2 linked regions of the Rattus norvegicus genome follow. The protein of the gene in region 1 binds, or shares a complex with, the protein of each later gene. Each region holds a gene or a part of one and is shown on either strand. Other genes may lie near its edges. The genes, in order: Ap2m1 and P2rx4.

The links.
Region 2: the proteins of Ap2m1 (region 1) and P2rx4 are in contact, whole or in part, in a crystal structure (PDB 2BP5), measured with the Rattus norvegicus proteins. Residues at the interface, in NP_446289.1 of Rattus norvegicus: Phe174, Leu175, Asp176, Lys203, Asn217, Leu316, Ala317, Gln318, Lys319, Glu391, Val392, Pro393, Lys400, Val401, Arg402, Tyr403, Leu404, Ile419, Lys420, Trp421, Val422, Arg423, Tyr424, Ile425; in NP_113782.2 of Rattus norvegicus: Val375, Glu376, Asp377, Tyr378, Glu379, Gln380, Gly381, Leu382, Ser383, Gly384.

What each region holds. Positions count from the first base shown.
Region 1 is NC_086029.1:93,865,553-93,869,897, reverse strand, and holds the start of Ap2m1 (AP-2 complex subunit mu), read left to right. Parts: upstream 1-1,417; 5' UTR 1,418-1,445; intron 1,446-3,700; 5' UTR 3,701-3,743; coding exon 3,744-3,817; intron 3,818-4,345.
Region 2 is NC_086030.1:39,516,511-39,520,318, forward strand, and holds part of P2rx4 (P2X purinoceptor 4), read right to left. Parts: intron 957-3,808; coding exon 809-956; intron 1-808. UniProt on the Homo sapiens protein: ATP-gated nonselective transmembrane cation channel permeable to potassium, sodium and calcium. CTP, but not GTP or UTP, functions as a weak affinity agonist for P2RX4.

The sequences.
Region 1 (4,345 bases):
CTAGCACAGTGCCTGGCACATAATAGAGTAGGTGCTCAATAAATGGTAGCTATTATTATTACTATTTCTATTTCTATGTTGTTGTTGTTGTTATCACTAATTTACTCTAAACTTTTAGGGTATGTTGGGAAGAGAAAGCTTTTGTGAAGATAGACATGAAGCCTTCAAAGGTTACAAGTTTCTGGGTTTTGGCTTCTGGAAGGAGGTTGCTAGGAATAGTAGGGTTAGCAACCAGATTTGAACACCCACCCCTTCCTTTCTGCCATAGAAGTCTCTGGCCTGTTTAGGCAACAGATGTCTCTGTCCACTGAGAGAAAAACCAACTTTTCTAGATTTGGCAAAAATCAGACAGCCGTTTGTGTTCGGGTTGGTTCTGCCTCATTCTCAGTTTGGATATCATAAGAAATCTTTTTTTTTTTTTTTTAAGGTTGAGACAGGGTTTCTCTGTATATCCCTGGCTGTCCTAGAACTCGATCTATAGACCAGGCTGGCCTTGAATTCAGAGATCTGCCTGCCTCTGCCTCTGCCTCTGCCTCCTGAGTGCTGAGATTAAAAGCATGTGCCACCACTGCCCAGATGAGAAATGGGATTTTAAAATCCCATGCCCAACTAAACTGGAGTGGTGGACAAACAGGCTCCCTTTTGTAGCCTGGGATGTCTTGAAACTCCCTATTTAGACCAGGCTGGCCTCAAATTCACAGAGATGCTCTTGCCTCTGCCTTCAGAGCTCTGGAATTAACGGCATATGTCACCAGCACACCACAGTCACAGATTTTGCTGAGAAAAACACTAATGTTTTACCAAGAATTAGTGCTTTCCTTCCCAGCCTTTCTGTTTGGATAATTATCCCTGAGAAAGGGCTCAGTCCTATCCTGGAATATATATAAAACCTCGGGAGAATCAAATGTGTTAAAAAGCAATAAATTCAGCAGTAACGGGCTTATGCAAGTTGTGTTTGTAAAGTGAATATAGCCACTCTTCGAAATCTGGAGACAATAAAAATCTAATAATTCAAAATTTACAATTGGTTTCAACAAACAGCTTTGGTCTCTTAAAGCCTACCTCCTCTAACTAGGAACGAGAAGGATTACAGAGACTACACTTCCCGTGATTCTCAGTGAAGCAAATAGTCTGTGGAGCGTACCATGACCCGTGTTGCCAGCAAGACGCACTGAGGCCGACGTCGACTCTGTCTCGAAGGCTGTCGGTAGTTGTAGTTTTGCTAGACTTAGGGCACTCGGATGTGTCAGCTTGAAAGCTTCGGAGACTGACGGGACTTGTAGTCGCCGCTGGAGGTGAGCGCGCAGGCGCAGCTGCGGGCGGGGCGGGGCGGGGCGGGAGCACTGCAGTGAAAGCGGAGGCAGCAGACAGGCGAGCTGGGGGCGGGCGGACATCTTGGGATCCGAGAGTGGCCAGGCCTGCCTTGTGGGGGCTGCTGACTCCAGGTGAGCTGGGAAGCTTGACTTAGAGATCCTTACCGGGCGGCGAGGGTGCCGTGGTCACCTGCCCTGCCCCGCACTGTGCTGGGTGGAAAACTGCCCGCACCCGGGAGTGGCCTCAGCCTCCAGACCCGGGAGGGAGCAGACGACCGGGCGGGGGTGCCTTGGGCGCGATTGCAGCAAGGGCGGGGAACGACGCCCTCCAGTAACCCGCTGGGCGTCTCCGGGAGGAGACTCGGGCCGGAATCCTAGAGCCGGGGACCCCGCGCGGCGCCCCATCCCTAGAATCCTGACAACCGCTCAACCCCGAGGTTTCCCATTCTCCCATCCCCCAGGACATTGACATCCCCTGGTGCCACTCCCTTGGACAGTGACAGGTCTCTCTGGAACACTGAGAGATTCCTTCCTCCTGGTTTACCCCCCACTGCTCTTCTACCTCAGACCTATGACAGCCCCCGCATCCCTTGGTGACATCTCCTCGGCCTAGATGTCTCCCCCCTCTGCTGAGAAAAACTCCACCAACCCCTCATGCTTCACTAAAAGAAGAGTAGGCCCTATCTCTCAGCTTTCTCTTTTTCTACTGTCTATCTTTTCGCCTTGTTTTGCTCCTCCAAAGCTCCTATGACCTTTGTCATAGGAGAACTTGAGGGACTCCCACAGCTGTATTTGCTGCTGTGGGGTCATCCTGGTCTATTGCTAGCAATTACAGCTAATCGGTCCCTTAACTAAATATTCCATTTCTGTCCAGGACACAACACACACACACACACACACACACACACACACACACACACACACACACCACAACCACAGCCACCTCCACCTCCACCACCACTCCCACCCTCGGCTGATACCTGTGGACTTGGTCCTTTGCTCAGGGGACAACCTCCATTTTGCATTTTCTTTCTCACCTTCTTTGAACTGTGAGACAAGTGTGTCCACTACCTTAGTTGACTTGTGACTGGGTTTCAAGGGTTAACTTTTCAGTTTCAGAAAGTCTTGTTAGACTAACATCAGTGAAATTAATACCAGGGTTAATCCAGAAAAATCTAGAACCAGATTAACCTATTTTCTTAAATATTCTAAATTAATTTTGACCCAAATGAATTTGGGCAGTTGAGACATTCTGTTACCTTGCCCATTGCTTAGTAAACACCAGGCCAGAAGTGACTGACTTGGCAGCTCTGGAGTCACAATTTAGCAGGATTAATGCTACATACAGACCTAATTTTTGTCACATTTTGAAATTTTGATAAGACAGTGACCAGAAATAATTGTAAAGGGGGCTCAAAAAGAAAGAAAGAAAGAAAGAAAGAAAGAAAGAAAGAAAGAAAGAAAGAAAGAAAAGAAAGGAAAGAGGGACTTGGCATTTCAGAGTCCTTACTGTTCTTCCAGAAGACCTGAGTTCAGGTCTCAGCCCATGTCGTTTGGTTCAGTACTGCCTGTAACTCAGGCTTGTGGGATGGAGGGCAGGGCTCCACCTGACGTCTAGACTTCCACACACACAGCACACACATTGGCATACCTATGTGAAGGTAAAAATGAAATCTTTCTAAGAAGAACTTGGGAGCATTGGAGCGTGGTTTGTTCGCCCTGGGCCTCTCTGTTCCTTTGCCTGCTTATCTCACTGCCTGGGGAAGACGAGCCTGCTTCAGCCACATTCCTGGGTTTGTGTTAGAGCCTAAGGGCCTCTTCTCCCACCCCCACCTCACTCTGCACACCCTTTCCTGGAATGTGTAGCCTTGTAGACGGTCATGCTCTGCTGCCTTCTTGGAAGAATAGTGCTTGCTCTAAAAGTTATGCCTGGTGGCGGGCACAAGCTAACTCCTACCGCCTAATCCCTACCGCCATTCCTGCATCCGCGGGCAAGCTTTTCTCTGACTCACTGAAGTTGCGGGGAGTGAGAGTCTGCACAGCAGGGGTTTGAAAAGAATCTTAGCTGAGCTCAGCATTGTGAAGACGACGGGGAGGGGTGCGAGTGGGGGTGGGGGGGTGGTTACTTTCAAGCTCAGCCCTCAGAAAAGACTGAGTAAAATGGCCTTAACCCTGGGCCCCACACTTAAAGTACTGTCTCCTATCCAGTGTGGAATAAACAGGAACTGGAGCCTCGCTGTGCGTGCAGGCGGGGCTTCCTTGGGAGGGCTGCAGGGTCACTTGCTAGAGGACTGAGTCAGGAAAAAAGGCAGCCCTGTACAGCCCCGCTGAGATGGGCAAGGGATCTAAAGATTTCCCCATTCCCTATCCCCACCTTTCCTACCTAGGTCTGTTCTCAGAGCAATGGGTCACAGAGACTGAGCTGCCGCCATGATCGGAGGCTTATTCATCTATAATCACAAGGGGGAGGTGCTTATCTCCCGAGTCTACAGAGATGACATCGGGTAAGTCCCCTGCCTGAGCACGCTGTGCCCCAGCCCCCCCATCGCCTCAGCCTGAGCATGCAATATAGCCTGGTTCCATTGGGCATCGGCCCAGCTGCTAGGCTCAGGGCCTGGGGATGACACCTCCACCCCCTAGGGTTAGGAACTCCTGCCCTTCCTGCTCCCTGTAGGTCTGGTCTGGTGGCTGAAGATGAGTGCTTTTGCCTGGTCAGGTTGATTCTTCCTTTCAGGAGGGAGCACTATCTCCTGTGGGTGTGGTTAGTGTGTGCTCGGTGGTACTAATCCATCTAAATCTTGCTTTCAAATCCTTCTCATACTGAGAGCCTTCCCTAGATCCCCTTAAAACCCCTCTCTAGTCTGTTGACTCAGCTGTTTTCTGTTCTTCTGGACCCTCCCTGGTTGTGAACAGGCTGCGCTCTGTGGGTCATGCTGCCTTTGTAGTTCATCCGGGTGGACCTGGGTAGCGCCTAAGACCTCAGGTCTTACAAAGAGTCACTGCAGCCTCACTTCTCTCTCTGCTTCACGCTC
Region 2 (3,808 bases), on another chromosome or scaffold:
GGTGTGATGGTGTGTGTGCCTTTAATTAGAGCAGGAAGCTGAGCCAGAAGGATCTGTGAGTTCAAGGCCGATCTGTTTACACAGTAAGTTCTGGGTTCATCAGATCAGGGCAAGCATAGTGAGACATTCGAAAACAAATAAATACCAAAAGACTCTAGAGAAGAGTCTGGGAGCCAGTAACGTAACGGTATCAGCAGAAGTCAGAAGAGGCCATCAGATCCCCTAGAACTGGGGAACTGCCAATGGTTGTGAGCCACCACAGAGGTGCTGAAAACTGAACCCAGGTCCTTTGGAAGAGACTAGCTTGAAGTCCTTGCTTTCCCTTTCCTAGCTCCAAGCCAAGTGCTCATAGCTCACGCAATGTGGCCACCAAACACACCAAGCCAGCCCATCAGCTGCCAGCACACCAGCCGTGTGGAAGGAGACTGGAGGGTGGGGCCTGGCCAAGGGGCTCATAGCCGAGTCAATGTTTAACCTGGGCTGGAGATCTGACTCAGCAGTAGAGCGCTTGGCTAGCATGTGTGAGGCCTCTGGCGCTAGAAAAAAGAGACCTTACTCTCAAGAGCTTGGAGACATGAAGGTGTGGGAAAGACAGAGTATTGGGTTGGAGCCAGCCACACTACAGAGCTCTCTCTAGAGCTCTCAAGGGTTCTGTGGAAGAAATGACATCCCAGGGAGATCTGGTGACTGTATTGCCTGCTTGGGCTAAAACAGCCTGGGCCCGGAGGTGGCGAACTGGGGCCACTCACTGTATGTGGACAAAGTCAGCAAAGGGCTTCCTGCGCACAGATGTCACGCCAAGCCATACCTGAGCTGGAATCACATAGTCCGCCACGTCCCAGATCCGGAATCCAAGCTGAGAGGTGTTGGTCACAGCCACACCTTTGGCTTTGGTTGTCACCGAGCTGACCACGGAGTCCGTTTCCTGGTAGCCCTTTTCCCACACGAACACCCACCTGTGAAAGACAGTAGGTCATAGGGACGGTAAATTCGAACTGGCACCGGGGAGTCTCCGATAGCCACAGGACTGAGGTGTGGCATTTACCAACTATGTGAATGGAAAAAGCTGCCCAACGTCTACACTCTGCTACCGTGAACAGGCGTAGTAGTCCCACTGGTTATTTGTGGGAAATGAAGGCCGGGGTTGGCGAGCCCAGTCGTCGAGTATCCAGGAGATACAGAGTGAACGTTACCTTTATTCCTGGATGTCTGAAGAGCCTCTAAACACTCTGATCTATGGGACTCACCAAAAGTAGGTTATCAGAACAATAGTTTCCACTTGATTTGCACACAGTAGGTCACTTAGTCCCAACCACTTTATGGGGCACATAGCATTGTTCTTACCTACAATGTATAGATAGGAGCAGGGGCAAAGAATGTCTAAGCCAAGCGCTCCTATGGTCATATCGGTAGCAAGCAGCAGGGGAGGGATTTGAACCCAAGCCAGAAAAACCTCTGAGACGTTATTGTCTCCAGACAAGAGAACCTTATCTTTGAGGCAACTTTGGGTGTTTAAGACAGGCTTTTGCTACGTAGCCCTGGCTGATCGGGTGCCGGCTTTGAGGCTCAGGGTAGACTCAGACTCTGAGGTAGCAATCCTCCCACCTCAGACTCCCAAGTGCTGGGACTGTAGGGTGAGCCACTCTACCCAGCTGTTGGTTGGTGTGTGGTGTGTGGGTATTTGTGGGTGGGTGTGGCTCCCGTGTCAAAGTCAGACGACAACTTTTAGAAGTTGATTTTCTCCCTCGCAGATTCTGGGGACCAGATTCAAGTTGTTGGGCTTGTAATAGCAGTCACTTTGGTTTTTTTTTTTTTTAGACAGGGTTTCTCTGAGTAGCCCTGGCTGTCCTCTGTAAACCAGGCTGGCCTCGAACTCACAGAGATTTGCCTGCCTCTGCCTTCTGATTACCGGGACTAAAGGCGTGCACTTCTACATCAGTCTAGCAAGCACTTTTTCAGACACAGTCTTGCTGTGTGGACTATGATGGTATTCACTATGTAGCCCAGGCTGGCCTTGAACTCCCTAAAATTCACCTGCTTCTGCCTCCTGAGTGCTGGGATTAAGGACACGTGCTGCCGCCACGGCTGGCTTCCTTCCACCTTGTCTCTTTGAGACAGGATCTAACTGGGGCTGGATGATTAGGCTAAGCCATTGAGTGCCAGGGTCCTAGCTGTGTCTGCCTCCCCAGGGCTGGGATTACAGGCGTGTGATTCAGCACCTCATTCTGGGGATCAAACTCTGGTCGGCCAGCTTTGTGCATTGAGTACTTCACTGTCTGAGCTCTCCCCTCAGCCCCTCGGGGAAACTTTTTATTTATTTATTTATTTTTTTTTTCAGAGCTGGGGACCAAACCCAGGGCCTTGCGCTTGCTAAGCAAGTGCACTACCACTGAGCTAAATCCCCAACCCCCGGGGAAACTTTTTACAGTCCCATCTTTTCCCCCCAGGGATTCTGGTCATCTCCTGCTCCTTCCTTCTAAAGGAAGGGCATTGCCCCTGGGCTGAGTTAACTACACACCTGAAGGCATCTGTCTGTGTGACGGGGTCACTGGGTCACTTAATTGCTCCGCACCTCAGCTTGTCCTGCCTTTACACTGAAGGATAACAGAACTTTACAGGGTTTCAGGGAGATAAGTTAATAAGACGAGAGCAGTTATCTTAAGCACTGCCGGGCAGTCTGAACACTGCCAAGCTGCCGTCACATTGCTACAGAACACCAGTCTGTTACTCCAGATACACCTCGAGCGACTTCAGAAATAGGAACTCGGTTACCTTCTCTCTCTCTCTCTCTCTCTCTCTCTCTCTCTCTCTCTCTCAAGATCGAGTTTCTCTTTGTAGCCCTGGCTGCCTTGCAACATACTCTGTAGACCAGGCTGGCTTCCAATCAGAGATCCGTTGGCCTCTGCATCCTCAGTACTGGGACTAAAGGTGTGCACCCCTACTGCCTGGCTCTTGGGTTACTTTCTCCTGGGTTTGTTTGATCCTCGATCCTCTGCCCATCCTAAAGATGGTTTCTCTCCCACTGAGTCCTCTCCTACGGGGCTTCCAGGAAGCCAACAGCACCGGTGTTTCCCTGTAATCCACTCTGGTGGAGAGGTGAGGGCCGAAAGCCTTCGGGTTTCCTGACTCCGTACACCGAGGTGCTGAATCAGGAAGGGGAGATGATGCCATCACCACAGGCTTAGTTATTTGCTCGTCACGTGAAGAAGATCACAGGGAATTCTGAGGAGACTCGCTTCATGCAGAAAGAGGTCACACTTTTCACCAAGATTAATGAAGCCAGGAAGTTAACAAAGGCCAGGGTGTGATGAGTTGCCCAGCACTCAGGAGGCTAAGGCATAAAACTCACTTTGCGGATTCCTTGGCCAGCCTGGATTACTTAGTGAGTGCAGGGTTACCCAGGCTGCAGAGCTGGGCTCTGTCTCAAAACAACAAAAGCTAAAAGCTAAAAGCTTAAAACCAAGTCCTGAGGGGTTGGGGATTTAGCTCAGTGGTAGAGCGCTTGCCTAGCAAGCGCAAGGCCCTGGGTTCGGTCCCCAGCTCCAGAAAAAAGAAAAACAAAACAAAACAACAACAACAAAAAAAAAGTCCTGAATTTATACCATGAGTCAATGTTGGTCGTAGTGAAGATGGGTAAAAGTGAAAGCACTATTGATTTAGAGATGATCGATCGGGACAGGCACTTCTGTGTAAGGAGACCCTACTACCACTATGCTGCCCAACAGAAATGGAATACAGTAGGGTAGGGTAGGGAGGGTAGTTCCACGGTAAGACTCCACGATTGGAAACAGAATGCAAGCCAGGTGTG